7 linked regions of the Solanum lycopersicum genome follow. The main gene of each other region encodes a partner of the protein of the gene in region 4 in a complex. Links are inferred from orthologs where the notes say so. Each region holds a gene or a part of one and is shown on either strand. Other genes may lie near its edges. The genes, in order: mediator of RNA polymerase II transcription subunit 27, mediator of RNA polymerase II transcription subunit 32, mediator of RNA polymerase II transcription subunit 14, mediator of RNA polymerase II transcription subunit 30, mediator of RNA polymerase II transcription subunit 21, mediator of RNA polymerase II transcription subunit 17 and probable mediator of RNA polymerase II transcription subunit 26b.

What was found.
Region 1: mediator of RNA polymerase II transcription subunit 30 (region 4) and mediator of RNA polymerase II transcription subunit 27 share a complex: the UniProt entries of both Arabidopsis thaliana proteins name them as parts of the mediator complex. The link is inferred for Solanum lycopersicum from reciprocal best matches to the Arabidopsis thaliana genes AT5G63480 and AT3G09180.
Region 2: mediator of RNA polymerase II transcription subunit 30 (region 4) and mediator of RNA polymerase II transcription subunit 32 share a complex: the UniProt entries of both Arabidopsis thaliana proteins name them as parts of the mediator complex. The link is inferred for Solanum lycopersicum from reciprocal best matches to the Arabidopsis thaliana genes AT5G63480 and MED32.
Region 3: mediator of RNA polymerase II transcription subunit 30 (region 4) and mediator of RNA polymerase II transcription subunit 14 share a complex: the UniProt entries of both Arabidopsis thaliana proteins name them as parts of the mediator complex. The link is inferred for Solanum lycopersicum from reciprocal best matches to the Arabidopsis thaliana genes AT5G63480 and SWP.
Region 5: mediator of RNA polymerase II transcription subunit 30 (region 4) and mediator of RNA polymerase II transcription subunit 21 share a complex: the UniProt entries of both Arabidopsis thaliana proteins name them as parts of the mediator complex. The link is inferred for Solanum lycopersicum from reciprocal best matches to the Arabidopsis thaliana genes AT5G63480 and MED21.
Region 6: mediator of RNA polymerase II transcription subunit 30 (region 4) and mediator of RNA polymerase II transcription subunit 17 share a complex: the UniProt entries of both Arabidopsis thaliana proteins name them as parts of the mediator complex. The link is inferred for Solanum lycopersicum from reciprocal best matches to the Arabidopsis thaliana genes AT5G63480 and AT5G20170.
Region 7: mediator of RNA polymerase II transcription subunit 30 (region 4) and probable mediator of RNA polymerase II transcription subunit 26b share a complex: the UniProt entries of both Arabidopsis thaliana proteins name them as parts of the mediator complex. The link is inferred for Solanum lycopersicum from reciprocal best matches to the Arabidopsis thaliana genes AT5G63480 and AT5G05140.

The regions. Positions count from the first base shown.
Region 1 is NC_090800.1:77,929,041-77,932,997, reverse strand, and holds the start of mediator of RNA polymerase II transcription subunit 27, read right to left. Parts: upstream 2,801-3,957; 5' UTR 2,490-2,800; intron 1-2,489. UniProt on the Arabidopsis thaliana protein: Component of the Mediator complex, a coactivator involved in the regulated transcription of nearly all RNA polymerase II-dependent genes.
Region 2 is NC_090807.1:64,223,280-64,227,121, forward strand, and holds mediator of RNA polymerase II transcription subunit 32, read right to left. Parts: upstream 2,445-3,842; 5' UTR 2,299-2,444; intron 2,297-2,298; exon of another isoform or gene 2,168-2,296; intron 1,914-2,167; 5' UTR 1,871-1,913; coding exon 1,430-1,870; intron 884-1,429; exon of another isoform or gene 868-883; 3' UTR 501-867; downstream 1-500. UniProt on the Arabidopsis thaliana protein: Component of the Mediator complex, a coactivator involved in the regulated transcription of nearly all RNA polymerase II-dependent genes.
Region 3 is NC_090800.1:84,067,137-84,070,837, forward strand, and holds the end of mediator of RNA polymerase II transcription subunit 14, read right to left. Parts: coding exon 2,817-3,701; intron 1,712-2,816; coding exon 913-1,711; 3' UTR 501-912; downstream 1-500. Other genes in the region: sec-independent protein translocase protein TATA, chloroplastic, read left to right, coding at 1-76. UniProt on the Arabidopsis thaliana protein: Component of the Mediator complex, a coactivator involved in the regulated transcription of nearly all RNA polymerase II-dependent genes.
Region 4 is NC_090807.1:2,029,146-2,033,218, forward strand, and holds the start of mediator of RNA polymerase II transcription subunit 30, read right to left. Parts: upstream 2,801-4,073; 5' UTR 2,678-2,800; coding exon 2,279-2,677; intron 938-2,278; coding exon 839-937; intron 278-838; coding exon 179-277; 3' UTR 143-178; intron 62-142; 3' UTR 1-61. UniProt on the Arabidopsis thaliana protein: Component of the Mediator complex, a coactivator involved in the regulated transcription of nearly all RNA polymerase II-dependent genes.
Region 5 is NC_090801.1:60,839,865-60,843,863, forward strand, and holds mediator of RNA polymerase II transcription subunit 21, read right to left. Parts: upstream 2,656-3,999; coding exon 2,446-2,655; intron 1,307-2,445; coding exon 1,229-1,306; intron 1,057-1,228; coding exon 1,005-1,056; intron 881-1,004; coding exon of another isoform or gene 873-880; exon of another isoform or gene 859-872; coding exon 782-858; 3' UTR 501-781; downstream 1-500. Other genes in the region: iron-sulfur cluster assembly SufBD family protein ABCI8, chloroplastic, read left to right, coding at 3,594-3,999. UniProt on the Arabidopsis thaliana protein: Component of the Mediator complex, a coactivator involved in the regulated transcription of nearly all RNA polymerase II-dependent genes.
Region 6 is NC_090811.1:1,513,851-1,517,889, forward strand, and holds the start of mediator of RNA polymerase II transcription subunit 17, read left to right. Parts: upstream 1-1,239; 5' UTR 1,240-1,348; coding exon 1,349-1,437; intron 1,438-1,536; coding exon 1,537-1,756; intron 1,757-3,204; coding exon 3,205-3,318; intron 3,319-3,485; coding exon 3,486-3,571; intron 3,572-3,693; coding exon 3,694-4,039. UniProt on the Arabidopsis thaliana protein: Component of the Mediator complex, a coactivator involved in the regulated transcription of nearly all RNA polymerase II-dependent genes.
Region 7 is NC_090809.1:61,266,115-61,270,338, reverse strand, and holds the start of probable mediator of RNA polymerase II transcription subunit 26b, read left to right. Parts: upstream 1-1,424; 5' UTR 1,425-2,391; coding exon 2,392-2,838; intron 2,839-3,445; coding exon 3,446-3,511; intron 3,512-3,612; coding exon 3,613-3,695; intron 3,696-4,224. UniProt on the Arabidopsis thaliana protein: Component of the Mediator complex, a coactivator involved in the regulated transcription of nearly all RNA polymerase II-dependent genes.

The sequences.
Region 1 (3,957 bases), on a different chromosome or scaffold from region 4:
TCTTCAAAAGTTGGAAAACTGCTGTGCAAAAATAAAGCCAAGGTGTCTTCGACTATGTAGATTGGAAAGATTTCAACTTTGTAAGTCAGTTCTTGTATGTTTAATAATAAACAGGGAAACTATCAGTTGACCAAATAAAAACATGGTAATTGTTTCAAAAAAAATTAAAATCCTAAAATGGAAGCCAAAAGCCCAAAACCAAAAAACCAGTACACATCTGGAGAACTATAGTATTCATGTCAAAATAATTGTGAAACAATAAAAACAAGAAAGTGGATCGTGGACAACCAAAGAGGAAAATGCATTAGAAGAGATAGAAACCTAAGTTTCTGGGAGGACGAAACAACTACAAAGAAAAGTAGAAAGAGAGAAGTATTCACAGAAGACTAGAAAGAATCACAATAGAAAACATACTCAGTATCATTTCCAACATAACAAAGAAATGCACAAGCCTTTCTAATGGACAGACTTTCAGCACAATTACTCTATAAAAGAATAACTCAAATTCCTGCTATAGAAACAGCTCTTCCCATCTAATACAACTGTGGTTCTATCTTTTAGTCTATCAAAACTTCATACTTTCCAACAATACAGCTCCCAATCAGCAAATTCCTCATTCTCTTTCCAACAAGTGAATGCTAATTGTTAGCTATATAGAACGCAAGGGATGAGATAATGTGTAATGGTTTTTCAGGTTGAGGCCAAAAGCATAAATGATCAGAGCTTAAAACTTCCGAATAAAAAGTAAGGGACTAGGAATCATCAAAATATGTAGAAACAAACTAATAGTTTATTTGTTGCAAGTCTCCTTGGTGTCCGACGCTCAAACAAACTAAAGACATTTCGTCAACCAGATGAAGGAACTGGCAAAAGAAAAGACAGCTAGCAATTAAGGGACTATGAATCATCAAAATATGTAGAATACCATGGAGAAACAAACTAATAGTTTATTCGTTGCAAGTCTTCTTGGAGTCCGACACCTAAACAAACTAAAGACATTTCGTCAACCAGATGAAGGAACTCTTGAGGTAGATGGCAAAAGAAAAGGCAGCTAGGTTAAAATATCATAGATTAGTAGGTTCTGTAAAGTTAACCGTATAAAAATGTAGGGTTATCGTAGCCCACATTCTCATGAGAAGGAGAAAGTAGGGGACTTAGAATACCCACAACATATAGGATACCAAGGAGAAACAAACTAATATGTTGCTGTTTCCATGTCTTCTTCGTGTCCGGCGTTTAAAGAAAATAAAAGCCAATGAAACTTCCCTGAACCACATGAAGGCTGTATCTCTTAAAGAGGCAAAAGAGAGGCAAGAAGTTCACTATATCATAGATAAGTACCTTCCACACAGATAGCTGAATAGAGATGTAGGGTTATCGTAGCCTACATTCTCATGAGAATGAGAAAGTAGGGGACTTTGAATTTCCACAACTTGTAGGACACCAAGTAGAAACAAACTAATAGGTTGTTGTCTGCATGTCTTCTTGGTGTCCAACGCTTAAAGAAAATAAAAGGCAATCAAATTTCTCAGAGCCGCATGAAGGACATAACGAGCAAAATAGAGGCAACAAGTTTAGTTTATCATAGATTAGTAGCTTCTGTAAAGATAACTGAATAGAGATGTCCGGTTATCGTAGCCTACATTCTCATGAAAGGAAAAAGTAGGGGACTTTGAATCGCCACAACTTGTAGGATACCAAGGAGAAACAAACTAATAGGTTGCTGTTTGCATGACTTCTTGGTGTCCAACATTTAAAGAAAATAAAATACATCAAACTTTCTGATCCAAGTAGAAACCAAAAATGGTTATACAATTGTATAGAGGTGTTTGCTCCAATGCACTTTGAGATCAGACCAATTGATGTCTATCCCTAGAGTATGCAGCCTGAAGAGGTTGATTCCCATGCAATGCATTATTTTTTGGGGGTAAACTGAGCTGTTCAAAGTAGGAAGAGGCCACCAGTTATCAGATTATCGAACAATTAGCAGTTCAAGTTAAAAAATGTGTATGGCCACGTAACCTGCTTACTCATTCTAAGCAACAAGAAGGGGACAATGAATTTCCTCAGACACTTGTTATGTCAGCAGGAGTAAACAAATGAGTTATTAAATGCTTAAACAATTCTTCACCAAGGCTCAAGAACTTTCAAGGCTTTTTTAGCCTTCTTGTGACTTGTCAAATAACCAAAAAAAATAAAGCCTAATGGAGCTAATTTTGACTTGATAGTTCTAATGTGATTCTAAGATAACACTCCCTAAACTAAAAGTCATCCTATATCACTGTGTATTGCCACCATTGAAAAGTGAAAGTTTTGCCAAAGATCTATTAACTGCGGGTGCATATCAACTTCTGCATAGAAACAATCTAACAAAATATTCATATCAGGTCTCATGACAATACAGGTCACTTTGCTAGATGAACAGAAATCAGTATATTTTTATGGAACTCATAAATCGTCGCACTAAAATTCAGAAAATTAAAACTTACCAGTTGAAACTTGGAAGAAAAGACTGAGATGCTGATAGATTGCAAAGCCGTCAATAGAAATCGTGAAAGTCAGGCAATGTCGCTGGTCGTAGACTCGCAGTGAGGCACAGTTTCTGGTAAATTACAACACAATACCATCGAAGAGTTTCTAAAATCTTTGAGCGGTACAAGAAATTGTGCCAATCACGGCGTAGTGTATGAAGAGATGCCGCACCGAACTAGGGTTCTTCGTCTTTTAGGGATGCTGCGATTTAGGTCTGAATGGAGAAGAGGGGCGCGTGGGGGTCTGAAGAAATAGTGTGGGGCGGGTCAGTCATGGTTTTGGGCCGGATTTGGTTTTGAATGTTGGGCCCAAGTGAGAGACTCATGTCCTTGGAGTCTTTTTTTAGCAAAAATAAAAAGGGAAATTTAGCTAACTAGTCAAAAAAATCAACTTATTTAGTGATAATATCCATATTTTAATAATATTAGTCAATTTTTACAATTAATAGTTGTATTCATTCAAAAATTATATTGCATTGTTTCTGAATTTGACTTTTTTTTTTGTAATTTGTATTTATTCTAAAGGTATGTCAACTGTTATGTATTTTATTTAAGAATGAGTACACCAAATATTTAATTATTTCTTTTCAATTTTTTATTTCATTCACTTTTTCATCATACTAATTTTTTTGTGTTTTATATATTATTATACAAAATTCTAAATAAAAACTATAATAAATAGAAATACAAATAAAATATATATTAAAATAAATACATACAAGATTTTTGAAGAAAAAAAATAGGCCAAATACATACGCAGGTCCCTAAAGTTGTTCGCGCTTTTCCCCCAGGTACCTCAACTAACCAAGATTCCTATAAATCCTTTAACCCCCTATAATTTGATCCTTTTAAATATTTTTGGCTGATGTGGAGTCAAATTTCAATAAATTATTTTTGGTAATTAGGCGCGTGAGATGAACCTTCCCCACGTGGAAATTTTGACCAATACACTCCAACCCAATTACACGTCAGTGCCACATATTATGTCATCAAACCTAAAAATCAATTCCCCCCCAAATCACTTTTAACCCGTTTCTAAACGAGAAAACCCTAAGAATCTCTCCTTTTCAATGACTTTTACAACTGAAATTCTTAGATTTTAAAGTGATTTCGAGTGTTTTGTTGAAGGAATCATCGAAGATTGCAGACGATTTTGGAGTTCATTCGCGATTTTCGAGTTGACGAGTGTGAGGTAAGTGACGAGCATGTTGTTGTGGTTGTGTGTTTTTAATATATGTGTTTATCCTGTGGTTTTTATTGATATATACTGGGTTTTAGTATCAATGTGGTTGTTGTTGTTAATATCTAGATAAAGTTAGGGTTTTTTGGTTTTTATTGTTCATAACTGTCAGAAAAATTTGGAGCCTTGTTTCAGGGAATCTTATGGACGCCATTATTATAACTCGTTTTCATCATGGTGGTAAGT
Region 2 (3,842 bases), about 62 Mb from region 4:
CAAAAGATGCTCTTAAGCATTGTATGTTGCCTCAAAACCCATTTCTTCTTGGGTCTGCATAAAATTAATGAAAAGAGCGTTGTTTTTTCTGATATATATAGCTTTATAGAGTAGCCTCTGCTTGTCATCCCTTCAGACGATTCTCAATAACCATCAGAACTTTTACATCATAGATCTCTCATTTACTAGTATTAGTTTGCGTTATTGGACAAAGACGTTTCCAAGTGCAGTGACAAGTGAGAACTTCTGTTTTCAAAGTTATTATACAGTACAACTAAATATTAGACTGAGATAAGGTTAAATGGAGCGACATGGATACTGAGCATTTGTGTAGCAATCAAGATGTAGTTGTAAGCTAAAGCGTATTTACTAATACTGCTACACTCAAAGCGTCATAATACTCTGTTGCAACAATTCCAGAGGTCTCCAAAGCCTACTGAATGAGTTCATCAGGGTTAACACAATTAACTAAAAAGCCACTTTACAAGATTGGAGATATATTTCCTAACAAAAATCGATTATAAACATAAATACTCGAGAATATAAGGTACACATAGCAGACACAAACATACAGCCTGTTTGTATATGTTGGTATGCTTAAGATCTAAATAAAGCTAACAGTGCAGTAGCTCATACTGCGATAAAAGTAAATCTCTGTGCCTAGAAAACACAAATGTAAATTTGCCAGATCTTCTCATAAGATGGCGAGGGAGGGAGGCGGTAAAGGTGGTTTACAAATATCATTCCAAAGTATTTCTTCTACATCGTTACAACATGACTTCATACATCAAACATCAACTTTAGCGGCTTACTAAGGCACATAAGATCTTCTGTTTCTCTCTGCTGATCACCAGACTCTGTAGTTACCTGAAAACAGTCACAACTAATAGTTCTTTGTTTTACAGCGATGAAAACAGAATAAAACGAAACCAATTTTTTTTTTCTAGTTTCCATTTGTCTGTCAGAAGTGTTGGGTCAAACTCAGCTTAATAAGTAAGGATAGTACATAATTGATCATAAAAAAAGAAGTTGGGTCAAACTTAGCTTAATAAGTAAGGATAGTATTCTTCATAAATAAAGTAAGGATAGTACATATAACATAATTGCTGCAGAAACTAGTGGTTACTCACAGTTATTCGTTCTGATGGAAGAGAACATATGATGCCACTAAAAAGCAGTTTTGTTAGCTTCTACTACTTTTCTATCAACCTGGAAATTTATACAAGACCAGCGGTTTTGTAATAGCAGCTCTTATATATGAATCAGTTTCAGTTCCAAGGGAATGTTCACTTATTTGCTTCATCATCAAGTCTAGGATACAAAGCCTATCACTAATAGTTCATTAAATAATACAAATTTGTTTCCAGATTATTTAACATAGTCAACGGAAACGACAAGGACAGGAAGTATCAGCGAGATTTCAGTATACCTATTGAGCTGCATCTTCAGAAAATCTGGCATCAAATGGAGCAGAAGGATTGGGATGTACTGCTGAAGCACTATTCGCTCCAGAACCATGTTGCAGTTCTATCACTAGCCATCTTACAGCTTTACTCATCTGCTCCAACCTAACAGCACTAATGGGTTGAAGGCCACTTGCAGCTGGTTGCCCAGGCTTCCCTGAAACAGTGCCTGTAGCCTCATCCACAAGACACTCGGAGCCAATTCTTTGCTTAACCGATTCCACAAACTCCTCCGCCTGATCACACGCAACCCTGAACAACTCCCACTTTTGCTTAAAGTTTTCTAATGCAGCATCAGTTGCTGCTGTTTTCTGACCATTAGAACTCTCCTTTGATTCAAGTACAACAGCTGATGCTGCAACAAAGTCTTGATATGCACTGCTCAGTGCATCTACGAGATTATCCATCACAACCCCTCGAAGCCCTAATTGATCACTAACCTCCGTAAATCTATAAAGGAGAGAATAAATTAGCAAGAACATCATTAAAAATTTAATCTTTGTATCAAGACCATCATTAAAAATTGAATCTTTATAGCAACAACATCATTAAAATTGAATCTTTAGCAAGACCATCACTAAAAATTGAATCTTTGTAGTAATTTCATCATTAAAAATTGAATCTTTGTACAACAATTAAAGAGCTATTATGCTATCAAATTCTGCATACAAAAACAAACCCAAGAAACAATTTTCTATGATTACCCAAAACACTCAAAAGCAAGAAATCAACTGAAACAAAATTGATGCAATACACAAATTTCTTGAAAATACTCAAATAAATTTAAGCAAATGAAAAGAAGAAAAACCACAAAGACTAGGGTTTTTCTACTTACTTGACTGAAGGAAGAAAATGGCTTCCACAATCTTCTCCTCTGTCTTTTTTTGGTTTTTTTCTCTTCTCCCCTCACTCTGTTTCGAAATAATTACATATTCCTCCCCAATAGTTTTCATTTGTAACACAAAGCTTCCCTTTAGTTTCAAAATTAATATTTTAGAGTGTAAGATTTTTAAAATATATTTGAATAAAATCATAATTGAGTAATAATTGTTTGAGTTTCTAATAATTATTTATATATATACGAGTGCTATTTTATTGGACTAAAGGAGTAGTATTATTTATGTATCTTAATTTTTATTTTATTTGTATTTTCATCATTAGTATTATATATTAAGTGTTCTATGTACATTAAAATGAGACATATATTTTTTTTCATTTGTTAGTGTTATATATTATTGATGAGTAATTATATTATATGTGATGAATAAAATTAATTTTACATTAATGTTTAAATTAAATATTTTGTTTAATTGCTCAAACTTGTCAAATTCATCGGTGACCTCCTAAACTTGCTATCGATTTTCACTTAGAACACCTAAATTAGGCGATGTTCATTTTAGACACCTCGTGTAGGGTTCTGTTGTGTCATTTTGGCACTTTTTGCTGACATGTCAAAGTGAGTGTGATACACTTAACAATAGCGCGTGAAAGACTTAATTTAGCCATTTTTAATTTTATTTTATCTTCTTCTTCTCCAAGCCACCACCCCCTTTTTTTTCGAATTTAAATTCCTTCAATGGAGGTCAAATTTTTTATTCAAATTCGTTGTTAAGTCATTTTCTTCTTCATCATTGTATTACTTATCTAAGTCTATCTTCACCTCACTCTATTTTTTGCCGGAAAAATGGATACCAACACCCATATTTCATGTTTATTCTCTCCCTCCTTTCTTTTTTTAAAGAAAAACAATACTAAAAAGAAGAATAAATATGAAAAATAGTAAAAGAAAATAATATTTTTTTGTAAAGCACAAAAGAGATTTGAGTGTAATGAAATAAGAAATTTTCGTAGAATAATATTTTAAATTTTTTTACTAAATAGATTTTATAATTATTTTTAACTGAAAATAATACATGTAATTATTTAATTGATTGTTTGCCACGTCATCAACGAGTGTATTACACATTTACACTCTCCTTTAGTTTTTTATTTATTGTCAGAAAAGTATCAAAATGACACAGTTGAACCTTACATGGGGTGTTTAAAATGAACATCGCCTGATTGAGGTATCTAAGTGAAAATTGGTGCCAAGTTTAGGGGCCATCGATGGATTTGACCTAACATTTTTCATACGCATACAATATCACATAAGACCAACTTTTATTTCACATTTATTATTAGAAAAATTACTGAAATATACTTTTTATATTCTTCTTATTTTCAGTATACTTACTATTTCTAAAAATCTTTAAAATCTCCTACTTTTCTCCTAACGTACTTAATGTATCCGAGCTATATATTATGAATTTAATTTATTTTATAATACCCGAACTAATTTACTCTATATTTAGGTAAATTATACTTTATTATTTTTCAATT
Region 3 (3,701 bases), on a different chromosome or scaffold from region 4:
AGTCGAAAAGGCCATTGAGGTTAGTCAAGAAGAGAAGCAAGACACAAAAGTTCCAAGCACCAAGGAAAGTTCATAAATGCAGTTTGCCTCTAGCTATAGCTTCTAGGCTTTTACTATTTTCTACAACACGATTGTTTCTTGTATTTGACTAGTTGTGTTGAGCTATTGTGTTTAATTTTACATTCCTGGCTTTTCCCTCATTGACAGGTTAAGATCAAAACTTAGGTAAGTTAACCATTCCTTAGCTCCAATTCTTCATTAATTCGATATGATTGCATATTCTGCTACATTTTTGTTTTAGCATGCAACGAATTTTTATATATAATTTTTAGCAACATACATATATGGGTCTAAAATACACCATCAATCATGCCCCCTCACTTTTACATGTATTGCTTGGCTGATCCAGCAAAGTAATTTTCTCATTTATCCATCTCTAACAATGAATTGATCTTTTCTACAATTAAAACAACTATGCCACATCTCTAAACTAATAGTAATTATCTGTATAAATTGTGTATCCATTCAATTTCATATGGGGAGAATTAGAGAAACACATCCAACTGTCTTACAGTGTTGCTACTTACAGAAATTTAGGGAGAAATAATTTAAGCCTTCACTTCCAACAATTTACAACACTAAGCGATCCTTCTAATTGCAGTCGAGCTTGACCATCCAGAACAGATCTCTGTGTATCATTCGAAGCAAGACGCGAATAGATCTATTTTTACCTGTACAAAGGAGCCTGCATATACCCATTAAAAAGGAAGTCTAGTTTACATCCCAGCTGGTTAGCCACATCCAAATCTACACTGGCTGGTTCTTCCGGTTAATCTTGCAAGGCAATTTTTCGGATTAGTCAGCACTACATTTGTGTATTGTTTAGATCTACTTCATTGAAATCTCTCTATTTCACGATCCAATGCCTGCAGCAACTCCACCACCATCCCTCAGCCCCTGAAGGTACGCATGCAGTGTTCTTTGAACACTGTCTGCGACAACCCTTAACCTTCCCTGATTGGCATCACCAGCGGAATTTCCATTCACTTCAACAGTTCGAGCTACTCTTTGTTTGCATCTTTCCCAATCATCAACTCTCAGCCAGCAAGCCCGTCCACCATGGCTCCCCTCCATTCCCAGAAACAAAACATTTGGGTTCTCACCAAATGCATATCTCAACCTAACAGACACACAGTAGGGCAACCAAGCAGCACCGCCAGCCGCGTTAATATGAGGTATATGTGCATGATCAAGAACAACCGTAAGTGCAAAATCGACAGAATTGTGAGCCCGATCATAGTGAATATTGCTTTTGGACGCAGATGTATTTTCTGAGCTACCATCAATACTATATCCAGCATGATTCTCAAGACACAATTCAATACGGGATTTTTGTGTAGGGACCATATCACCTCCTTGCACTTGAGACAACCCTTTCTTCCATGCAATGAGTTTAAGGAATTCTCTCAAAACAGAAATAGGTAACGTCAAAAGTGTAATGAATGATGCCACACGAGAAGCATCATATGGCTCTGACGCAACACGGCGGCTGAAGTAATCACATATTTCTCCTATTTCTGACTGAGTTAATTCCTCTTGCGCACTTCCGGGATTTTGCTGCTGCTGCTGTTGCGACTGATGAAACCTCTTGACACTAATAACTTGCAAGAGAAGTTGAACCCTATGAACGCTAACAGCAAATACATAGCCCCTGCAGCAACAAAATTATCAGGAAATAGGAACTCAAGATCACAAAATATTATACATGCTTTTAAAAAACCAAATAAAACTAGTTAACACCCCAGTAATCAGTGGAATATATTGAAACAGCAGGCAACTTTTCTAGACATAAAAGATTAAAAGGTCACCATAAAAAACATCAGACAAGGATATCCCCAAAATGGGATATATTATTCAGATTATACACTTAAAAAGTACCGACCTTTCTAGCCAATTGAAACAGAGTACTAACAAGTCAGAAAATTTAAGACATTAAGCAGAACATGTTGAACATCAAACCAGTAGACTAAAAGTAACTATGTGAAACTAAAATGGACAAAACTCAGGTGAGATTTTTTTTTTAACTAGACTGAGCTTTAATGAAATTAGACAGGCCCGGGAAAATGGTTCTAAACGGAAAAGCCTTGAGCACAAAAACCAAAAAGAAACATGATATCCATGTTGTTCCCAGACTCTTCTTTTACAATAGACTTGCCTGACTCCAAAAATATAACATAAAAAATAGTATGAAGTCACAGAGAAAATATCTGCAAAAGATTCGGATATTTATCAGGGGTTATAGCAGTACTTCTTTGAGCTAATCGTAAGAAAATATGCTGAATGAGTACACTACATGACTACTTTACTGTATAGCCTCGACACTCATAACATAACTAAAGTTCGACCTACTCCAAGCACAACGAATGATTAAGAAAGACAATCAAAGCTAAGTATCAATGTTTGAATGACAATGAACACATGCAATACAATTCAAGCAGAAATGAGAAATCAAAATCCAAGCTGAAGGCAGGAAAACAAGGAGAACCGGAAAAATGATAAACATGACTTCAGAAGGGTTCAAATCATGCATAGCCAGTCAAAATTCATGTAAGACGTGTCCAACGTAAAGGAAAATGTGAGAACTAAGAATTTGGAGATTCTCTTCAAATGCCAGGTTTACACACATCCAATTTAAAGGACATGTGAGAATTGAGATTCAGGAGGTCCCTTCCCATTCCCAAGTTCTCTCCATCACAATTCAGTCAGCATAAGAATAGACGGGGACTAGATAGAATACAGAATGATTGGAACCTTACCCCACAAAGAAGCGTAAGGCTGGCTGCTCCTGATCCAAATTCAACAATGCACCCTCATTATCTTTCAGAATAGATCCCAAAATCTCCTTCAGAAGGTCCGGTAACTGAGCGAAGAGCCATAGCACCCCAAGGTATTTTAGAATGCCTCTGAGAACCTTCTTGAGAGCAACAAGAGGAACCCATCCACCACCATACCCTCCATCATCACCAAGTCCAATAATTGCAGTATTTAGTTCTCCTCTGACATGAGCAGGTACACCAGTACCAGGCGCTCTGCGCAAAGGCATCCCTGCATTTACCCCAGCTAAATTTGATGCTGCTGGAAGACCATTTGCAGTACGATTGAAACCAGTTACAGCATTTGCTGGACGAGCTAACCCAGTAGAATTAGAGAGATTAGTCCTGTTCGTATTTGCAGCTGGAAGCTGTGAACCAGCATTTAAACTATTTGAGTTAGGCACGCCAACTGCTTGTTGAGAACCAGTAAAGTTAGAGTCAATTCCATTCAGTTCCTGGGCAACATGTTCCATGATGAAAGGTCGAAATTGTGGACATGGCAGAGATCCTCCAACTTCTGGCCCCCCTTTAGGTGGTGTTGCTGGTTGCAACCAAACCTGATCTCCAGCAAAACACCTCATGTCAACAGCAAATTTTTTCCGATAAATAATGCGAATCCAGTACGGACCACGAAGTACAACAGAGACATCTATTGGCAGCAGTGAACTCGGAACAATGCCAGGACCACCTCTTCCAGCAGCGGCAGCTGCAGCTGCCAACATTGCAGCACTAGGATGGCTGTGTGCGCCAAGTGTACCCACAGAAGCTGAAACAGGATTAACTCCAGCTCCGGGTGCAGGCTGATTTATGCTAGAGTTTACATTGCTT
Region 4 (4,073 bases):
CCGCGAGCAGCATATAGCAGGTGTCCGGCGATGACCAATTTTTTGAATCTAGCAGTAACTTCTGTACAAAAGAAGTGAAAAAAAAATAAAACAGTTTCTTAAGATTGAATACGTTGCTCTTTTGACATCTCTAACACCTCACCGATTTAATTGTATGGTTGAAGTTATAGCAGCAGAGTCATGTAGAACAGGGACTCTGCCATGTACATAGGTCAGCAAGAAGATCTCGAAGCTGGTCAATCAGAAGTTTGAGATGCTTGTTCTTGTCTACAAGCTCCTGCAATTTGTAAGAACAATAGAATATGCTTTAAATCTTGATCACAATAGCAACTTGATTTTTCACTACCGTAAGATAATAGAAAACTATTAGGCATGCACTCAAGTACGATAAAACTCTACCTTCACTTGAGGACTTCTTATTGCCACTAGGGGGAGACATAAAGCAAATGAAACAGGATTTGACTAATTTTAACGCAATAGGAATAAAATTAATAATAATACAGTATGTACAACAAGCAGAGGATGTTGAAACCAAGTTTTCATATGTTATCACAAAATCATATTGTTCTGATTTGAGGTTGTGACAAATATCGAGACTTGAGAAAGTTTGTACAGTAAGACATTTTGTCATGTGTCCGGAATGAAAATGTAACATGTAGTATACCTCAATATTGTTTTAATGGATAAGAAATTACTCAATGGATCAAGGAAGACATCAGTCAAGGTTCAAATATTGGCACACACATTTGCTTCACCAAACCCACCCATCATGCATCCCAAAAACCAACAAAAATCCAAGGAAATTCTAATATGTCAAAATTTGATATGTTATCAATACCTTCTTTAATGAAGAGGCCCGGTCTTCCAGCTGCTCAATTTCCGCTTGATCTGCTGCAGATAGTGAACCACTAGCAGAAGCAGCTTCCAATGCTTTTGCCTAGCTAACAAAGCCAGTAATGAGTGTGAAGTATCATACAATAAGTTAACAACTTTCCAAAATGTACAAGAAAATATAACTTGTTAATCATGAGAATTGAGACAACAGAAAGGAGAGTTTGACAACTTCCAGTTAAAACGGAGCAAATACTTGCACAACTCTTAAGAAAGAAGTTACTAAAAGAACTCATTTAATGTGTAGTCGGACATATGTTGAGCAACAAAAATGCACTCAACATCAGTGATTTATTTGTTCATACTGACAAACAAAATTCTTACTGCTTAACCAGATTCTCTCCAATGCACAAATGTTAAGGCAATCCATACACCAACACCAAGGACTTGAGATGTGATTATAGTGCTAATTCTTTCTTGAAAAGGATAACACGCAGTAGTTTATCTTGGTATAAACACTTATACCTCATGTGCGTTTAAACAGCAGAAACAAGAACAACCTCGAAAACATAGTTAAATATCTTCCCCCATCCCCAGCCCCCAACAGCCACCCACAAACCCAGAAGAATATAAGACAAATCAGAAAAAGAGTAAGCAGCACAGTTGAGCTTCATCAACTGATGACGAGGGATGATCAAACGACTGAATATTATATTCATAGTGAAGAAATATTATCCCCATGTCTAGAACATCAAAATATACAATTGCCATGTGCAAATGTTGCTCATATTGGTAAGGGCAAATTGTGCTAGTATATAACCACATGATGTCTTTCCCATATCAATCACCAAAACTGTTTAACCCCTTGTTTTGTGATTAAGATCAATCACCAAACACTTTTCACACTGAATTTACCTTTATCGCTAGATAATGTCTTTTTTTTTCTGCTCAAACTGGATAATGTTTTTCTCTCCTACAGTACTCCGAAGGAACTACATTTCTAGAATATCTATTTGAGTTTCATTCCCAATCAAAACTACCATCTAACAGAACACCAACACCACCTATGGCTCAACACAAGCTGGTTGGTGGTGGAAGTATACGAATCCTCCATATCCATATGGAACCACTTCACTCCAGTATCAAATAGTTTTAACCTTTGGAACCTCTAAAACTAGAGGTTATCTACGTTGGATCCAAATCTTTGCGGTCACGTTGAACTACCTTTGGCATTGAACAAAGCCCCAGTCTTTTACACATTTTCTGTTTAATGGACTTCACTAGAAGTGATTCATTCATATAGCTGAACCGAACTAGTTTATGATCAAGCCATTGTTGATTCATGATTACATCAAACTAACTTTTCCTGAGATCACTATCTTAAATTACAGATATCACACAATTACAAAAATGTTTTAAAAAATTGCATTTTTATACGTAAAATTACCTTTTGGGAATTAGAAATTGCAGTAAGAACAGAACGCAAGGAAGCAATAGAGGACTTATAACGCAGACGAGATTCATCAAGAGCACCACCACCAATATCCAAATGCTGAGCTGAAGCAGAAGAAGACGAAGAAGTATCAGACGAAATGTCGCCGTTTGTATGGTGCTGCTGTCCATTACTCAAAACACCACTAGCACCAACTCCTCCACCGGCCACCGCCACCGCAGAAGAAGCAGCAGCTGTATTTAGAGTGGACCAAAGTGATGGATTACAGAGTTCATCGTTCATGGCGGAGAGAATTTGATGTGCTGCTTCTATTGTATCTTCTAAATGCTTTTGCCCTTCTACTGCTAGTTCTTGTATGGTTTTAGGGCTTGTAATTGTGCCTTTATCCTCCATACCGGGTAATGTCACCGGCTTGTCAAAACCCTAGATCGACGGCGGCGGTAGTGGTGGCGATCGGCGGTGCGAGAAGTTGTAAGGAGAATTAATTTAAGCATAAAATGACGTCGTTTTATGCGTGGCGTGTACTTTTTGGGCCGGGTAAGGAGCTATGTATTACTGGATCAAGCCCAAAATCAAGTTACTTGGGTCAAAATTCAAGGAAAAATTATATAAATTAATACATTTTAATAAATAATTACTGATTTTAGCGATACTTTTTATTTATTGTCATTTATAGCAATATTATGTAAAATCTGCAATATGAATTAAAAGTGAATTATGTATGCAATGTACGTGAATTATAAGTTGTTTTTTGAAATATATTAAGTTTGTTTACTAAATTTGACACATTCTATTATAAATGTATTAAAATGTGTGAAAAACGTATTATCCATCGTTAAAATTTGTATTATATGTAATATTAAATTGTTATTTATAATATGTATAAAACTTGTATTATAAATAAATTAAAACTGATTAAGTAATTTTTTTTTATTATTGCTATAAATGGTAAATATTTTTTTAATTATAGTACGTGTATATAAGTTCCCCGAAATTCAATGGGGGAAAGAAGTGCACAAATATCTGTGTTTAACGTTGCAGAAAAATTACCAGATTACATAAACATTCCTATCATATTTACTACGTAGTTTTTTTTTCATAATTTTGAAAAGTTACGCATCGTCTTCTAATTAGTAATTTCATACTAGATGTCAAGTCATATAGACCTAGATGCATGTAATATACTACTATATACACTTTAAAATATAAACTTATAGAAAAAAAGACGAGTGAAAAAGACGTAAAGTGAATGAGAGAGAGTCTATGTATCGCAAATAGATGCAAACTAAAAAAAGTGTGATTCCAATTAAAATTAAAAAGCGAAAGAAGAAATGTTTAAAAACTTCCATTTGAGATTTTGAAAGAAACAAATCAAAGATTCCTTTTTTTTTATTCAACGTGCCATTAATACCTAATTAAAAAAAGACAACACCATTCGAATCGATAATTAGTCTTATTGTGCATTTTAATAATAGAAATTAAAATATTATATATATATAATATTCTTTCTATTTCATTTTATAAGACACTTTTCAGATTTTAAAATTCAAATAAATTTATTTTATAAAAAGGAAAAAATGACAAATATATTCTCGAACTACCGTAAATGATATGCAGATACCTTCAGTCATTATTTTGGGACATTGATGTCTCTGTCGTTCATAAATTAGAGCATATATGCCCTTCACTCTAACGAAGGGACAGGGGTACCAATGTCTCCAAAGTATGACGGTAGGAGCACCAATGTCCCAAAAGTACGACGACAGGGGCACCAATGTCCCAAAAGTAT
Region 5 (3,999 bases), on a different chromosome or scaffold from region 4:
TGTAGTCTTCAATACGTCTCCTGCGTTAGTTTCTTCATTCATGTATTGATGCCAATTGTCATATGACGTGGTTGAGTCCTTCTACCAGTCATAGTTGGACCCACGTTCTATCTAAATTTTAGCATTCAACAAACCCCGATGGCTGTAAATTCTTCTCTTCGTTGCTGTCACGCTTACATATTAGGCAGACAAGGTTTTCTATATATTTTGTGTGGTTGCTACTTGTTTTCGGCCACGCCTCAGTTCCAGCACGACAAGAAAATATTCTGGCGATATGCAATCTAAACTCCCAAAGTACCCAGACACAGCCCAAAATGTGTCTACGAATTAAAATCATCAACTCGGTAGGGTAGTTGTGCATGCCAGCTGCCATGTTTTGGGATCACATGTTTACGAAGTCAGTCTGATAATTGCATAACTTTTGACAAGTGCTGGAGCAGAGAAACTAGCCAACTTCTAAATTGAACACGTGGCACAGAAGACACTAATATTTAAGGATGTGGAGACAAAAAAACTGCTGATTTTTGCTATTTAGGCACATTATCCCTACCTCTTTTCATTCTATAAACACAGCTCTAAACCAGATACAATAGTATACTGAATTCTTTTCTTCAGCAGTGGCCAAGAACTTAAAAAAAAAATAATGTCAGAGCATGCCTAATTATAATTAGTTAATAAATGTACCCATAACAGACATGGACACAATCAATTTGTTGTTCCTCCAGGGTATATTCCAGCAAGAATGGGCTCCTCAAGCAAACTGAAATATCTACTACCTTATTCATTCTGGCTTCTTCAAGTTCAGGCAGTTATCTGTTGCTTGGTTAAACAACTCCTGGACCTGCTTTAGCTCCTTCTCTAAATCACCAAAATCAGCAAACTGAGTCTCAGAATAAACAAAAAATTAATAATACAGACAGGAAAACGGAAATTTGGACCTTAGCCTAATCAGAACAGCTTCCACTATCTTTCAGAAAGAAAGCAAGGGAAAAACAAACTCTTACCTGCAGCTTCCAGTTGTTTTTGAAGTTCTTGGCCAACTGCATCGTTCTCAGCCTACATCACATACATACACAACCGAGTAAGACTACTAAGCCCAAAATAGACAGACTAATCTTTATTTATCCTTCTTTATTTTTTTAGTTTAAATACTGTTAAGCTATAACACATCAGAATTAGAGGATGTCAAAAAGTGAATTCCACCAATTATTCACAAAGAAGCATATACCTGGAGTTCTGCAATTCTTTTCAATTGGGCTTCTTCACTCCCATCCGATAAAGGAAGAGCAGCAACCAACACATCGAACTGCTCAAAGAAGGATAAGAAAAAGAGAAGATAGATTTAATACAATGACATTGTAGCAAAGCATACACTTTAGGATCACAATGAAAATTTGCAATTGGTCTGAATTAGAGCCACACAATCCTCAAGGCTACTCTCAAGTGTCGGCTGTGCTGCTTAAGTTTGATAGGATGCTAGATTAGACAACCTCTGATTGTGAGGCCAAGAAGAAAACAAGGGAAACATAACTGTAAACTTGAACACCTTAGAACTAATCACAGGGTTGTCCATATACATTTCATAGAAGACAGCTAAAGGGCGATAAACTAGAACTCAGTTTTCCGGTTTTGACACCAGGTTTACCCGGTGAGTCTTGGCCTAGATGTCATGGTTACCAAACCTGAGAGGCTGACATCAAGTTCTCTAGTAAAAATCCCTAGAGGCATGCAATCCTGTCCAGCTAGTAGTTGGAATTTGTCCGCCATTATGTGATTCAGTCAAGTTTTATTGAAGTAGTTGGTGATGCTAATAGCATTATTGTATTTCTCGTTAAACTAAGGACAAAAGACTAGGTATTTGAACTCAACCACACTGGTCTCAGGAATCAGGACTAAGGTCTTTGAACTCAACCACGCAGGTCTCAAGTCTGAACAAACAAAGACTTAATATCATCTGGTATAGAACTGCATGTACGCATTAGATATGATGAGCCAAGATACAACTTAGTGTTATCTTGTATAGAACTGCACAAACACATCATATATCTAAAGATTTGACGTTTCCAAAAGTAAACATACTAGTCAAAAGAAGACAAAAGAAACATTATTTTGTCCAAAAATGATTTTTTGAAGGAATGGTAAGTGCATTTGTAATACAGCACCAAGAAGGTGCAATCAACAACATTTACAGGGAACACAAAGATATACCTTCCTATTCTTAAAGGGATTCTACAAGTTCAATCACTTATTCAGGCTCATTTACAAAAAAAATGTCTACACAAAAAAGGAAACTAAACTAAATAGTTTATCTTGATCTTCCGAAAAAAGAGAAAATTCCCTATTCTCGAAGTACACGCAGATTACTTTTATACCCTGGTCTGTGGCTTGTTCATATTCGTTGATGAATAAGCAGAAAAAGTGAAGGTATGGAGTATGGAGTTTCACCTGCTTGGCAGCCTTAACAAAAGCAGCACTCATTTGCTTTGGTTGTTCTGCAACATTAGCTGAGTCTTCTGTGGGATTAGCAGGTGGAGGTTCTGGATAATTAGGTGATAGACGCACAGGAGGGGCGTCCCTCTGAAGAGTACCAAAGGTGTTGAAAGCAAGAGCTGCAATTGTATTTACTTGTTCCTGTAACTGTGATATGATATCCATCTTCCAAATCCTTCCCTTTATTGCTAACAAAAATGGTGAATTTTGAGAAAAGATCGAACAAAGGAATAGAAAACAGAGGAGAAGAACTTACCTGAAAACCCTAGAATTGGAGGTCCGGGTAGAGCCGAAGTAGATTCGATAATCTGTTACAATTGTTTTAAAATTAGACCTAAAATTAACCATTATTTCAATTAAATTTTACGAAAAATGCTCAAAAATATTTCTGAATTATCCGAATTAGCTCACATATATCTTTAAATTAAATTCTAGCCCTTCTATTAAAGTATTGAGTTATTTTTACCCTTAATTTTAACAAAGGTGTGTTAAGTGTCACCTGAACGCCACGTGGACACCATATGGATGCCACATGAGCACCAAAAAACATCATCTCCATGTAGACTCATAAATCTTAATTATTAATTTTTTTCTCATTTTCATTCATTTTACTTCTCTAAAACATAATACGATTTCCCTTTTTTTTTCTTAGACGATTTTCTCTCTTATACGATTTTCCCCAGGATTTTACAAATTTCTCTTATGAACGCCATTGAATTTCTGAGTAAATTTCGTCACTTTCTGAGTTTCACCGTTCTTATAGATAATGCACAAACACCAGTCCTAATTTGTAAAGTAACATGCACAAACACCAGTCATAACTCTTCACATTTACTTGTTTTTATTTTAAACCTTTCAACATAAAGTCTGACTTTATCATTATCAAGTGAGCGCTTAAATGACATAAAATGCAACAAAAATAATTTAGCTTTACTATTTTTTTTAATTGTTTTTTTTTTGTTGTTGTAATTTAGGCTTTGAAAAGATGCACGTGGTCAGCATACGACATCTTAGATCAGACACCACAAAAAATTAAAAAAGAAACAAATAAAATTTATGTTTGCCTTCTCATCCTGCTTCTTTCTATCTTCTAAGCATCAACTATGGCTTCTCTTCTCACCAACGGAATCTCACACTTCTGTCCTCAATCCATCGCTGAGCAGCCTAAACTCCCAAAAGGGTATAACTTTTTGCCTAATTCACCCGGCCCCAAAATCTCAAATCCAGGTAATTTCAAGATTAAAGCTGCTGATGCGAAGGCCACTGTTGAAGTTCCAGGTAAAGAATCATCTTTATCAATCTCAAATGAAGGCGACCCACTTCAGAAATTCTTGAAAAGAGACTATAAATGGGGTTTTAATGAAAATATTGAATCTTTTGCGCTGCCAAAAGGGCTTTCGGAGGATACTATTAGGTTAATTTCATCAAGAAAGAATGAGCCTGAATGGATGCTTGAGTATAGATTGAAATCGTATGAGAAATTTGTTAAAATGAAAGAGCCGAAATGGT
Region 6 (4,039 bases), on a different chromosome or scaffold from region 4:
ATAGTTGAAATTAATTAAACATATCAATGATTTAAATTTAATTGCTTCAAACTTTTAGATTTTTTTAAATAAAAAATTTATTGTTCTTTTGTATTATGAAATTATATAAATATGAAATTAATTGATTTTCTTAGTTAAATTTTACATGTATATTAATGCATCGTCAAAAACAGAATTGAAATAAATCTATTGTCAAAGAATTGCATATGCTACTACAATGTTCAAAATCAAATCATTAAGTTTTATTGAATCTATGAACTCGTGATTAGACCGATCTGTTACTGTAAAAATAATCCTTAGCCGCCAAGAAAATAATGAAACTAAGATGTTTATTGTAATGTATATAAGTAAAATTTATTCACCAATCATATTTATTTGAGTTAATATATGTAATAATATTTTTAACTGTGTTATTTTCAGTATGAAAGTTATGCATGAATATAAGACGCATAACTTTTCTGTAGACCTAGTTACTATCGAAACTACAAGACGATTTGCTAACTATCGAACCTTTTTGAATATTTAATTGCATGATTTTCTTTTCAGATAGGTTGATCTTCAAATTTTACCTTTAATAATTGATAATTGCACGATTTTTCTTTTAAATAGGTTGATCTTTAATAATCAAACTTATACCTAGCGGTACATAAGTTCTTTAAGGGCACACGTGCTATAACTTATGAGATATTATGATTAAAAAAAATCTAAACTTACGTCCCACCAAAAAAGTTATTGATTTATCATAAGAGACAAAAATTGAAATCAAGTACAAATACGATAAAAGCGCAAATAACTCATTTTTTGACGAAAAAATTACATGAATTAATACATTTTAAAATATAATTACTGATTTTAGCTATATTTTTTGTTTATTACCATTTATAGCAATACTGTAATAAGTCTGTAATATGTATTAAAAGTGAATTATGTATGCAATATATATGAATTCTAATTGTTTTTGAAATATATTATGTTTGTTTGGTAAAAAATTGTCGCATTGTACTATAAGTGTATTAAAATGTGTTATAAGTGTATTATCTATCATTAAAACTTGTATTACATGTGAATAATAAATTGTTCTGTGTAATATGTATTAAACTTGTATTATAAATGAATTAAAAGTGATCAAGCGAGTACATTTACGTAAGTTTCCCTTTTTTGACCCACCAAACCAAACATGAAAGGGCCATAGTGTGGTTCGTAATAGGCCCATGATTTAAGCCCAGATCTTAATAGGCCCATACATTAAGCGAACCAAACCCCAATTATTTTCGACGGGTATTTTCCCCGATTTAGGGCACAATTCGGGATTTCTCCGACACTTCTTCCCGGAAAATCTCCCTGAAAAATGAACGGCAATCTGGAGATTTCCGTCGACAAGCTTCCGATCAAGCGTTTAGAGTATATTGAAGAACAAGGCGCTGAACGCTTCCCTTCGTACACTTTCTTTCTCTCTCTATATAAAAATGTAGAATTTCATGCATAATCAGTTTGTGAGCTGGATATTTACATTTAGATTTTTCGTAATTGTTGCAGTGATATAGGATACGATGAGAAAACGGTGAATTTGATTAGGAGAATTGATTTTGCGTGGGCAGTGGAAAGAGAAGAGCCAAGTAAGAAGCAGAAGAAAAGCAGTAGTGCTACTTCTTCAAAGGAGACAAGTAGCAGTCAGCCATGGCAATGGCAGAGTTTGGTGGAGAATTTGCGATTGGCTCATCAAGAGCTTCAAGTCATTATCGATCTCATTCACACTGTAAGTGTTAACATTAGAATTTTGGCTTATAATTTTAATGATTGAACTTAATGTCTATATAGTTTTGATAGAAAATAGTTCAAATTAAGTTTTAATTGTTCTGATATTTACATCTGGTCTGGTGTTTGTGTGGTGTCTGGTCAAAGACTAATGTGTGATAATTGTGAGATTTTGAGAATAATGAAGTTGAATAGAGAAAAAAGAATGGTGAGCAGGTTATAGGTTTGGGATTTTATTCTTTTTGAGTTGATGATTTCTAAATTAGTAATTTGTACTTAGTAAATGGATTGCATATGATACCTACAAAGTGGGCTAAAACTACTAGGTTCTGCTGAACCTGCTTCCCACACTCTAGCTCCGCCTTAATACGGAGGTTTAGTCAATGCCAACTAGTGTGCGATTGAGGTGTCGGTTGATTGATTGATTATTTGTTGGTACATGTTTAGTATGTCTTGTGCCTAGCTGGTTGTGTTCCATGCACTTACCATAAGAGGAAAACTTTGTGTTTTAGCCTGATAATGTGCTTGAAAGTGGAATACATTTGTCTTATGCTGTACTCATTATTGGCCAATTGAGTTTTTGTGGCATGCAGTTTTAGACTGAATGATACAGAGTAGTGTTTGCATCATGGATAAATGTTAATAAAATTTCATCTATGAGAATAGAGCACACTGGTTTTATTCCAATGTTGAGGTTTATCACGAGAGTGGGTTGGAACATTTTTATTTAGTTATCAATATTAGTAAGGTATGAATCTAATTCAGAAAATACAATAGAGAACTGTAAAATACACACATGTATGATCGTGAATGTACTTGAAAAGTGGTTAGAGAAAGAAGATCAAGACATCTTATTTACAACAGAGGAATTATTAACTACCTCTAAGTTGTTCCAGTAGGGAATTTCATGTGTGCGTGATAAAGAAAGGCCTTTTGGAAGGTGTAAAGTTGGATACACCACATATTGGATTTTTGAATTGAATCAACGTGGCTTTTCTAAATTGCAATAGCTACACGAGTATCAAGCTACTAAGCCACACTATGGAAGTCTGGGAAAGGGTGGTCGAGATGAGGATGAAGAGGGGTGTGTCAGAACCAATTCAGCTTGAAGCCATGAAAGGAGATTGTTTGAGCAGTATAGGGAGAAGGAGAGGGACTTGTACATGGTGTTCATTGACCTAGAAAAGGCATATGATAATGTCCCTAGCATATCATTTACTCCTCATTATCAGTATGATAGAGACAACTAAGGATTAAAAAATTTGACTTAAGCTTTCGGCATTAGTTATTTAAGTGGCATGAGATTCGTCAGTCCATTTGCTCCTTCAATCCCTTTTTGCCCCTTCTCCCTGGCATTTAAGACAGCACCTTTCTTAGGCATAAGATGAATAAATTAGCAGGAACTGTGGATTATGTATTGCATTGTTGACTCTGCTGTTCTGCATACAGGTGGAGGCAAACGATGCAGTGACAGTGGCTGGCATGACCAGGCCAAAGCAATTGCCCAACGAGCATCTGTCAGACCTTGCCGTGTCTATGGCAACCAAGCTGCAATGCTTCCGTGTATTTTACTTTATCCCTTCTGCAAGATGTTATGGTTGATGTATAAGTTTGAGTTAAACAAATAATCCACTGATTATCTTTAAGTCTAATGGTTTGTTGACAAAGTATAGTTATGCACTTCATTAGCAAAGCTGTATGTGTTTCGTAATTTGGCTTTTCTTTTGCAGCATTTGGGGAAATATTTTAAGCAATCTGCCAAAGCTTTGGAACAACAAGTGGCTAGAGAAGCAAGATTTTATGGTGCTCTTATCAGGTTTGTTCTTTGTGGCTACGAACAGTATTAGTACATTGTGAAAGATATGTGTGCAGTCATTTAGACTACCATGTCTTTGTGCCTTTCCTCAAAATTTTGGCTATTTCCTGATGAGCTGATAGATTGCAGCAAAATTGGAAGGTTAAATGGCATCGGATGGTTGCTGCTGCTTCTGGAAATGAAGGGTTTTACATTGATTTATTTGACACTTCATTATATGATCCAGCGGTTGCATTTCGCCCATCTTCTGCATCTGTGGTGCGTATTGAGCATGACCCAGCTGGGATGCTGGCTGTGAATTTACCGCCAAATTCCTGCCGGACTCTTCAATTTGAGTTTCTCGGTGCAAGTACACCTGCTGGTGTTATAAAACATAGCAGACTGAGACCAAAGGTGTCTTTTGAGGATTCTTCTGGAGAAACTAAGAGAGAAAAAAGTGATGATGAGCATGTGAGAGAAACTCATTCG
Region 7 (4,224 bases), on a different chromosome or scaffold from region 4:
TAGGTATCAAGTAACAATTATTTTGTCACCAAAATATAATTTTGTAAAAAAAATATTATGATAGTGCAATTTTTTAAAATGAAACACGTAAGATAAGAAAATCCAACATAACAATGAGGACCGAGATCATATAAACGTTACCTCGTTATTGATAAATGCATTGGAAAAATAAATAAAAAATTAAAATTTTGTTTTGTTTTGGATCAAACAAAAAAATTCTGTTTTTTTAATGAAGTTTAATTCCTTCGTATATTTATTTAGTATTATAAATTAAATTCTTTCGAAATAGAAAGAAAATCTACTATACAACACTAGCAATAGAAATTACAAACTTCAACAAATAAAAAAAATTATATGGTACTTTTATTTACAAAATACAATGCAAAAATAAGTAATTTGTATGTTTATTAGGATTTTAAGGATAATAACATCTTTATTGAAACTCTTTTTCTAATTTTAAGTTAATCAAAGAACGAACAAGTCCTAAATAAATAATTATAATAATTTCACATAACAATAACTTGTTCATTAAAATATAAAAAGAAATATAAATTTATATATAACATATTATGATTTATAAACTACAAAAAAGGAAACAACATGAAAAAATCTAATATAACAAAGGGTGGTATAAGACTAAAACAGGAGAATTAATTTTTTAGTCCACTTGCTATTTTTAAAAAGGCAAAGATAAATTGGAGAAAATTTAAGTTAAACTTTATATAAATAAAAAATTTACCTTTTTTATTTGAAGTAAAAAAATAAAACTCCAAATGAATAATAGTATCAAATAACAATAGTTTGTCATTGAAATTTGAATTTAATATAATATTATGATATTTTTTATAAACAGACAGTATTATGATAAAAAAATTTAATGTAAATATGACATTTTATACGAATCAAACGTAATAAGACTTTTTCTTAAAAATTAAAATAAACAATGTGAATATATATTTATCCGTATTAATTAAGCATCTTATTATTTTAACAACTTATATTTCTTTTTATATAAAAATAAATCAATTAAAACATACTTTAAATATTTTTTTATTTTTTATTTTCTTACTTTTAATATATAAAAAATAACATTTTTTTCTTATTTTACCATCGATATTAATTGCTTACTCCTTGCTCATTTTTCAATATCCAAGACTATACATCATTCATCAATTAATATATTCACAACAAAATTATTATTATTATTACGAAATATATTAAAAATAGATAAATAAAAATAAATGAAGAGGATATATTATTTTGTAATTCCATAAAAAAAAACATATATAAAAAAAGAAAACTACTTCAAAGCAAAGAGATAAATCACTTCCTTAACTTGAAAATAAAAATCATTTCCTTTCAGATTTTTCTTTTATTGTTTTTCTATATTATGTCACTATATTTATTTATTTCTTATCATCCTTCTTTGAACTGAACACAGTTAAAAATAGTTTTTCTATGTCAAAGAGATATGAATAAAATCTATATCCATATCATTTCTTTAAACTTTACTTATGAACCTATATCAAATATGTTATTCTCATCGTTATCGTTGTCATCATCAAAGTTATCCTTATGAATTTCATCCATAAAAGAAGTTTTCAAAATCCAATTTCCATTCTATATACATATCAGAATTCGATTAGTTCAAATTTCACACTTATTCATACTTAAAATATATATTTTATATACTGACAATCTCTCGAGTTAAAAATGAAGGAATCAGAACCATCTCACCACGATCCATGCTAATGACCGAAGAAAATTGATCCTTATCACCTACCCCTAACCCCTACCCCCCACCCCCAACAGAGAAAAAACAATATTTTTTCTTCCTCTCTCTCGTGTCTCTTTGAACCAGCACCTTGTATTGCTTTTTTTTTTACAGAGAGAGAAATATAATTAAAATAATAAAAGATAGCTAGAGAGAGAAAATCTTCTATACTTTTTTTTTAACATATATTCTTTTTCTCTGGAAAAATTTCTTTCAATCGGAATAATTTTTTCTAGATTTCTCTTCTTATATCTCACCAAAAACTTAATCGGATTTTTATTTAATTTTTTTAATTTTGTTTTGTCATTTTGGGTTTATAGAGTTTCTATCATATGGATTTTTCCTAAAAAAAAAGCATAAAAATCTGTATCCGATTGCATTTTGCAGAACTGAATCGCCGGTGACACTGATTATTCAGTTTCCGATCATCGGAAAAAGTACCTAATCGGAAAACCAGAGGTTTTTATTGCTAAAAACCTTGTTTCCGATTAGAATTTGTATGATTTTCTTGTGGGTATAATTAAAATCGGATAAAGATTGAATTTGTATATTTGGGTATTGATAAATAATTGATTTTACGATCTGGGTTGATTTGTTTTTGCTCTGAATCATCAGTTATGGCGAAGAGTAGTGGGACTTTGGATAAATGGAGGGACTATTTTCGTACTGCAAATTCGGATATATTTGATATAATTGAGTATGCAGTGATGGTTGCTGCTGTTGATTGTCCAAAGGAATTTAAAATGAGAAGGGATAGAATTGCTGAAATGTTGTTTACATGTAAAGTTACTATGTGTTTTGGTTGTGAGAAAGTTGATTTAGCTGTACCAATTGCTGGTAATGATGATGAAGGAAAAATTAAGAGTAAGGATGAGTTTGGTGGTAGTAAAGAGAGCAAAGTTAACAGTAGGATAGATCATCATGATGTTGAGATGAATGTGAATCAAGTTAGCAATTATAGTTATGGAGAAGCTGAGGCATTAACTGAGGAAATGGAGGAAGAGACTCAGACTTTTGGGGAGGTGATGAGGATCAAAGATGTCATTGATAACAACCAAGCTGAGGTTCATTTCATCTCTATTGAATTTTGGTTATACTGTTGATTTGAAGTATTTTGCTGTGTTTGGATTTGTTCAGTCAAGAATTGGTGGACTCTGTGTATGTGAATTTGAAGTTTGTGTACTTTTGGGGTTGATCAAGAAGAAAATCTTGATAATTGAGCTTAAATGTTGTTAAATTTTTGGAGTTTCTGGTGTTGTATGACATATAACAATGGTTACTTTTATGGTTGAATTTAATGATTTGAAATTTCTGTTCTTGTGGGGTTGATCAGGAAGAAGAATCTTGATAATTGAGCTAATGTTGTAAGATTTTAGAACTTTTGTGGTTGAATTTGATGGTGATTCTATTTTCTCTACTAGTGTCTATAACTGGAAAATCTGATATGAGGTTGTTTTCATGTCACAGTTAGGAAACCTTTATGCTTTTCATTTCCTTTTTGCCCCCTTTTTGTTCCTTTGATCTAGTTGTACAAGGATGTTGCTTTCTTTAGCTTTAAAACAATGTATGAAGCTACTTTTAAACTCTTTATATCTTTTGCTATTTCACTTGCTTGGTAGTTTTGAGCTTTCCTCTAGTAATCGGGTTTTGAGTTATTGTTCTTTTTGACAGTCTGCAGAGTTGTTTGAGTGCTTAAGAAGGCTTCAACTAATGGCTTTGTCTGTGGAGACTTTAAAGGTTTGATCTTTTGACGCTTCCAAAATTTCATCTTCCATTTATTGTGGTTACTGTTTTTTAAATTTATTCTGGATGGACATAATTGATTGCTTCTATATCAGGCCACAGAGATTGGAAAGTCGGTTAATTCTCTCAGAAAGCACAACTCAAAGGATGTTCGGCATCTATCTCGGACATTGATTGAGTAAGTAACTCTTGCTTTATTGCTGAAATAACTGTAAGAATGTCGTCAAAATATGTATGCACAACACAGTTCTAGTAGTCTGATCCGGGGTATCTTTAATGTGGCTGAATTTGTTTTATCGCAAAGGTTTGAACTTTTGTCTTCGAGTTGAACTAACATGTCGTATTGGTGGCTCTGGCAGCTTGCTTTGTCGGTTGTAGTTTTGAAGCTATTATTACTTTTTAACGCTTGCAACTGTTTGTCGCTTACCGTTTATCTTTACCGTAAAATTAAGATTTCATCATAACTCAATCATCAATGCATACTAATGATGGTGATTGCTTCATTTATCGAGTGCTGAATTTGTTTTTATCGCAAAGGTTTGATCTTTTGTCTTTGAGTTGAACTAACATGTCTTTTTGGCGGCTCTGGCAGCTTGCTTTGTCGGTTGTAGTTTTGAGCTATTATTACTTCTTAACGCTTGCCACTGTTTGTCGCTTACCGTTTTTCTTTAATTGATGTTATCTTTAATGAAGATTCCATCATAACT